Linked DNA regions of Ovis aries. The protein of the gene in region 2 interacts with the protein of the main gene of each other region in a pairwise test. Links are inferred from orthologs where the notes say so. Each region holds a gene or a part of one and is shown on either strand. Other genes may lie near its edges.

Region 1 (3,143 bases), on a different chromosome or scaffold from region 2:
GACCCCGACCTCCTGCTGGACCTGGGCTCCTGAGCAGGCCCGTGGGTTGCACAGGGCGTCCCCCGCCTGCAGGCAGGAGTGAACACAGCCTCCCAGAGGACCCGTGGGAAACCACAGGGGGTGGTGCGCCCCGAACCCGGGGCTTAGTCAGGTCTGACCCCAAGCTGGGGGATGAGGGGACGGCAGAGAGAAATCTTGCATAACTGGGAGAAGAAAATTCTTCTCTCGCCTGCGGAAGGTCTAGAGACGGTTTGGGGTGGGGCTCACGTGCCCTGAGCATGCACACTGGCCGAGGGGCTGGTAGACAGCTGGCACCAGCAGGAAGGGCTGCAGGGGCCTCGGATCCCACCGGGGAAACTCCCATCACCGGGAGGTTGGGGGGGAAGTACCTTCATTTTTAAGACAAGGTTTAGAGGGAGGAGAGAACCAGGCTACCTCTCCCCAGGGTACCGTGAGGCCCCAAGAGGAGACAAGCACGGACACCTGTGAGCCCCAGGCCTCACTTTGACCCACTTCATTCTATAGGCAGGTGGACATCAGACTTCGAGTTTATTATGGTTGCTTTCAGCCCCAGACAGGAGGAACAGAGCTGACAACATGCAAAGCAAGTTAAGAAAAACGTGAGGCCGGTGGTGCCAGGGAGAGCCCACCTCTCAAGTTGCGTCCTCCTCACAGGCAGCAGCCCATAGGCCCCCAGCCCCTTCCCTGCCAGCCCCCCAGACCTGAACCCAGACGCGCTGGGGCGGCAGCTGTTCTCATGCCCAGCACCGGAGCAGACAGGCTGGGTCTTGGGGTCACAGGGCTAACGGCTGGGAGCCCCTGTGGCGAGGCCCGCCCCAGCCTCAGGCAGCAGAGGGGCAGCGGGACAAACCTCGGCTCGGTCCTCCCCTCGGCGGCCCTGGGGCAGTCCACAGGCAGGGGCGGGGACCACGCCGTCCCAGCCCCGGGGGTCTCGATCAGGGAGCAGGCTAGGTCCTTCGGCAGCGCTTCCGCTGGCAGCGCCGGGGCTCTGGGCCGCTGGCCGCGGGCGAGGGCTCGGGGGGCTGGCGGCTCATGCTCAGGACCCAGCCCAGCTTGTGGTGCAGCACCTGCTTGAGGCCGGGCGGCAGGGGCAGGCCCTCAAGCGTGTCCCCCGAGCCGGGCCGCAGCTGGCGCAGGCGGTAGCAGCACAGGTACTGCAGGGAGGTGACGCTGGCGCACGAGCGGATCACCTTCATGCTGCTCTTGGCCGCCGTGGAGCACACCATCGGGTAGAACCTCTTGTTCTGCAGCTGCGTGGCCGCCACGCCTGGGGCGGGGGGAGGAACAGCCTCAGGGCACTCAGCCCCCCGGGGGCTCTGGCCCTGCTCCCTGGGGCCACATAGGTCCCGGCCTCACCTATGCACTTCCTGTTCTTGAAAAAGGTCAGCGTCCCGTGCCAGCTGTCCAGGTGCACGCCGATGATGGAGCCCTGGCCGAACCTCGAGGAGAAGCTCGTCTTGTCGCCCTTGTGGTGGAGGAGGCCTGGGGGCAGCAGGGTCGGGCTGAGCCCCACAGCCTGGGGGCCCCAGCCCCGCCCACCCGGGCCCTGCGCACCTGTGTAGGAGAGGCCCCAGCTGTCCTCGTCCCGGCCGAGCAGGCTGCAGAATGTGTGGTGGTACTTGTCCAGGTCCACGTCCGACGTCCCAATGCCCACCATCTGGGAACGGGAGCGGGCAGAGGGGGCAGGGGACCGAGGCGCCTGGCAGCACCCCCACCTCCTGGCCCCACCAGCCACTCACCATGTCCGTGCCGTAGACGGGCGACGTCATCTTGATCTCCCAGAAGTGCTGGCCCTCCCCCAGCTCCTTGGTGCCCCGGATGGCGGCCGTGCCACAGCTGTACTCCATGTGGAAGCTGACCTTCCGGTTGTCACAGCTCAGTAGGGTGGCCGAGGACTTGTTCAGGTCATCCCAGACCCAGTCAAAATCTGCGAGAGCGAGAGGCCCCAGCTGAGCCCCGGCCCACCCGGAGCACCGCCCACCACGCCCGGCACTCACACTCGTCCTCCTCGCCGCAGCGGCAGTCCCGGCCCCGGTGGGCGGCGTGCAGGCTGCCGCAGAAGGCCTCGCTCTGGCTCTCACAGTCGCAGAAGGACTCCCCGGTCACGGGCACGGCGCTGGGGATGGACGACGGCAGGGACGCGCACTCAGGGTCAGAGTCTGAGTCACTGTGCTGAAGGACATAGGAGATGTCGCCGCCCAACCTGCCGGTACCGGCCCAGCCACCCTCCACCCGCCTGCCCCGCTGCAGGCCCATGGCTCAACAGCCGGACGTCCCGAGGGAGAGACCTGGGGCTTGGCCTCCAGGGGACCACCCCGGCCCCGGGACACAGCCAGCCGCTGCCACCACGGACACCTCTTCTGGCCTCCTCCTCAAAGGCCGACCATGAGGAAGCTTCCTGGGAATGGAGTTGAGAGCCCTGGAGGCCCGGTGGCTTATCAGCCCCTGGCGGGGCTGCACACTCAGCCATCCCTCAAGGTCAGGAGCCCCTAGGTCACGGATACACAGGGGAGCCCATGGCAAAGCCCATCACTGACCTAACGAAGGCAGCTTGGTCTCCCTGGAGCAGCAGCTGGGCTCTGGGGGCCCGATCGCCGTGGCAGGGCCTGCACACCTGGCCCAGACTGTGGCTCCCCGTCTGTGCCCGGGGCAGCTCAACCCCCATCACAGGGCCCTGCTGAGGGAGCCCTGCGGTCGCAGGCCCTCTGCACGGGGGCTTAGTCCTCACAGGACAGACTCCAAGCCTTAGGGGCCCGATGTCAGCCCAGCACCAGACGCCAAGGCTGAACTGGTCAGGTTCCGGAGACCAGCTGACCAGACCCCCCTGAAAGCCAGCTAGGGTGCCTCCAAACACCCACCTGGACTCCAGACCCCAGCCAGCCAGCGAGGGCCCAGGGCACAGACTGCTTCCACGTGCCTGCGCTGAACTCTCCCAGCTTGGCCTGGTCTCCTGGTCAGGCTCAGGCCTCTGCCCTCACTCTCCTGGCCTCTGGGTGCCCCTCTGGCCCAAAATGCCCTCTGCACAGCAGTCCAGTGGACCTATTCAGACCTGAGATTCTGCTCCCCTGAGAGCAAAGTCAACAGACTTACCCTCCTCAGACAGTGTCAGTGCCCCTACCCGG
Region 2 (3,747 bases):
TCGCCAGGCATAGCCACAGCCTATAGCCTCCTAACCAGACGACCCATCAGAGAGACTCCATCTCAGGACTCCAGCCCCATCGCAGGCCATCCCCTGCTATGAGGCCTCTTTTTCTCCCCTGCTCCAGGCCTGGGGGCCCACTTTGGATTTGGGACTAGGACACTCCCAGCTTCATACGCCCATGTCCTGCCCTCCCCACTCCAAAGGGAGCATCCGGGAATTCTACCCTGGTATTAATTTATTTCTGGAAACATTTGAGAGTCTTAGACCCCTCTGCACTGCCATCACGGAGATGCAGAGGCAGCTAGAGGGGGAGCCCCTCACCTCTGCCTCAGGTCCCCCATAGATGTCCGTGAAAGAGGAGGGGGTGGTGGTTGGTGGGGGCAGCCCTCACCTTTCCCTTGCTCACCCCTGCACCAGCTGCCTTCTCCCTGGTGGCATCCTCTCTGTGTGTTTGGGGAGGGCATGGTGGGGGGGTGAAACTTCAGACCTAATAAAAGTGACCCTCCCATTCCCCCAGTTCTTTTCTCTGCTACGGGGGATGGGGGGAGGTTGCAGGCTGCCTCCAGGTGCAGATGGCCAGCCCTCTCCCACCCTCTTGTCTGAAAGCCCCAGTCCTGCCTGGGCCATCTGTTGCCAGGAACCTCCTTCTCTCCTTTCCCTACCGCCCCCCCATCCTGCCCCTCCCGCACGTGCTGACCACCTGCTCTGAAGGCTGCAGCAGCTGAGAAGGCCTTCCTCCCCACCCCCCAGAACACATACACACACACACACCCCACCTCCCAGCCTCCTGGCTCCCTTCGCTCGCCTCCCAGCAACCTCGCTTTTTTGCTAATGGGCCTTAATGCCCCTGCCAGCTGCTTTGCCAAACCCGCAGGACTGGGCGGGAGCAGGGGCGCTTGGGCGGCCAGAAGCCGCTCCCCCGTCCCAGCCTGGTGCCCCCGCCCCCAAAGCTGAACCGACCGCGCACCAGGACGTCGGGGTCTGTTCACTCCCCTCCCCTTCCCAGCAAAAAGTGCCTCGTCACCGCTTCTGCCCGCCCCCGCTGGGCTGGGAGATCCGTGGGGTTAGCGGAAAGATTTGGGGATGTGGGGCGGCGAGGCGCCTCCCGAGGCAAATCTTTCGGACGCAGAACTTAAGGGGATCTGAGGTCAGGGGTCACGGAGGGGAAGGGAGCCCACGCCTGGATGGACCGAGAAGAACCAGTGTCCGCGAGATTCACGTGCGTGCTCAGCCCAGGACTGGCCAATGGGCGTGGCGGGGCGGTGGCCACACCGAAGAGGGCGGGGTCATATTTGCCTATAGGCAGGGCCTGCTGCTCAAGGGGCGGGGTCTCTCTGCATATCCAGCAGGCGGCGGGCCAATGGGCGGGGCTGGGGCGGGGAGCTGAAGCGGGAGGGGCGCTCCTCCGCCCCTGGAACGGAATCCTCCAGGGAGCGGAGCAGGCTACGGAGCGTGCATCCCGCACCAACCCCCGGCCCCCATCCCCGGCCCGCGTCAGACGGAGCTGCCGCCGCCGCCGCTAGAGCAGCAGCAGCACTCGGGGATCCGGGCCCAGCCGGGGCCGCGGGAGGCGGGGGCGCCCGAGCCCTGGATGTCCCGCAGCGCGGCGGCCAGAGTGAGAAGGGCGGGAGAAGGGGGCTCGGGTGGGGGGCGGCGCCGCTGCTGATGTGGCGGAGGGTGGGAGGCGGCCGCGGCACCCGGATGGAGAGGGTGCCAAGGCTGGAGAGGGTGGTCCTGGGTGGGGGGGTCCAGGAATACGCTCCGCTCCAAGCCAAATCTTGGGAGACAGAGGTCTGGGGCACAGGCCCTCTCTTGCCCAGGTTCTAAAGATAGGGATCCCAGAAAGAGATCTCCCCCTCCAAAAAAATCAAGGACAGGGGGACAGCTTCTAGGTACAACTTCCTAGGCAAGATTTTGGGGATGGGGTCTAAGACACAACCTCCTTAGGAAGCCAAGGCCTCTAGGAGGGGATTCCACACCAGACACAATCCTTACCCCTCCCTGCCTGAGGGGGTCTCTGAATACAACAACCCTCTAGGCAAGGTCTTGAGAATGGGGTCTCTGAGCACAGCTTCCCCACCAAGGCAAGGCCTGGGGGGATTCCAAGCACAGTCTGTCCCCAGGCCTCAGAGGCATCCCAGGCAGAGCATCGCCCCCACACTTGGGCGCTGTCCCAGGAACATCCCTTTCTCAAAACAAGGTCTCTGTGCCTGGGACCCCATCCCCCTCAAGTCTGAATAAAATAATGGGAATTTCAGGCAAACCCCACAAAAAAAAAAAAAGGCTTGGTCAAGGGTCCCAGGGCACAGGTCTTCTGGGCCACCCTCTTTGTCCCGGGGGCTGCCCAGCTGTCTGGGAGGGGCCCGACCCGCAGACAATCCACCGCTTCCCTCTTCAGTTCTGGCCCCCCAGGGTCCAGGATTCAGGCTGGGCCAGGGGGCGGCTCCCCAGGGACCTGGTACAGCCCTGTCTGTCTGCAGTGTCTGCCGTGCTGGTGACGGCGGCTTTGTGTGTGGTACCTGGGGGGAAGGGGGGGAAGCCAGTGATGGGGAGGTGGCTAAGAGTGTGACCCTGTGTTTTTGTGGCTGTGGCTGCCTGTGTGTGTCTGTGTGTGAGCTGCTGCTAGGGACTGTGAGGAATCGTGTGTGTGTGTTTCATGCTTGTGGTTGTGTCCGTTGGTGCCTGTGACTGTATTTGTGTATGACCCCAGCATTTGTGTGACTGTGTATGTATGTATGACAGCTGCTTGCTCCATGTGCAGAACCCTGTACTTTTCCTTCCGTCTCTGTTTGTGTGCGTAGTTGTGACTCTGGTTGTATCTTTGATGACATCTTTTGTGACCCTCACATATGTACCTTGGTAACTCTAACTGGGTATGTGACAGTATATCCGTTGAGTCTGGGGTTGGGCATGTGTATGGCTGACTGAAGATGTGGGTGGAGTTGTGACTGTAAGTGGAGTTGTGTCTATGACTCTGTCCATGTGCGGCTGTTCTAATGACTTCTGGTCTTTGTGGTTGTGTCTCTAGCTGATTTTATATGTGTGTCACACATGTGTTTGTGTGACATAACTGCCTGCAGTTTTGGGTGGATGACTGCCTTTGTATATGAAGTCACATTGTGCTTATGTGATAGGTTGTGTGCTGGCTGTGACTTATGTGTTTCTGTTCATAACCACATATATGCATGTGATCAGGGCTGTATAAATGACTACATTTAGGTCTGTGTGTTGATACTGATGGATTCCGCGCATTTGTAGCTGTGTATGTGTGATTCGGGTTATGTGTTTGACTTAAGAGTCTGAAACTCTATTAATAGTGAGTTATTTAATTGCATGTGACTCAGCCTATAGGTGTGTCTATGTGCCGGCCCCAGGTGATGGCGTGTGTTTGTGGGGTTGTGTGTATGAGACTGTGACTTCTGTATCTGTGTGTGGCCTGCATGTCTGTGACCCTGGGTGACTCTGCGTGTCTGTGTCTGTGTCACGGTCTGTAAGATTGTGGTCTGCTACACATCGTGTAGCAATGTGGCTGTTTGGGGTGGGTGCGTGTGTGTCCCTGCAGGCGTGCTAGGCTGCTTTGTTGAAGTTGCATGATTTGGTGACAGAGTGAATGTCTCCTGACAGCATACACGTCTCGATCCGGAACCATGTCTTCCGTGTAAATGTAGCTGTAAGTATTCCATCTAGGTGTGTGAAATGGAAATTGCATGCTGATGTTTCTGTGTGTGAGATATAGTGTGTCTG

What was found.
Region 1: the proteins of NUMBL (region 2) and SPSB3 interact in binary tests that used the Homo sapiens proteins (3 or more experiments, as listed by UniProt). The two-hybrid records come from large-scale screens. The link is inferred for Ovis aries from reciprocal best matches to the Homo sapiens genes NUMBL and SPSB3.

The regions. Positions count from the first base shown.
Region 1 is NC_056077.1:1,876,789-1,879,931, forward strand, and holds the end of SPSB3 (SPRY domain-containing SOCS box protein 3), read right to left. Parts: exon of another isoform or gene 2,194-3,143; coding exon 2,019-2,193; exon of another isoform or gene 1,949-2,018; coding exon 1,761-1,948; coding exon of another isoform or gene 1,679-1,760; coding exon 1,378-1,678; exon of another isoform or gene 1,289-1,377; coding exon 969-1,288; 3' UTR 533-968; downstream 1-532. Other genes in the region: probable crossover junction endonuclease EME2, read left to right, coding at 1-33.
Region 2 is NC_056067.1:49,380,653-49,384,399, reverse strand, and holds the start of NUMBL (numb-like protein), read left to right. Parts: upstream 1-1,416; 5' UTR 1,417-1,594; coding exon 1,595-1,618; intron 1,619-3,747. Other genes in the region: COQ8B (atypical kinase COQ8B, mitochondrial), read left to right, coding at 1-13. UniProt on the Homo sapiens protein: Plays a role in the process of neurogenesis. Required throughout embryonic neurogenesis to maintain neural progenitor cells, also called radial glial cells (RGCs), by allowing their daughter cells to choose progenitor over neuronal cell fate.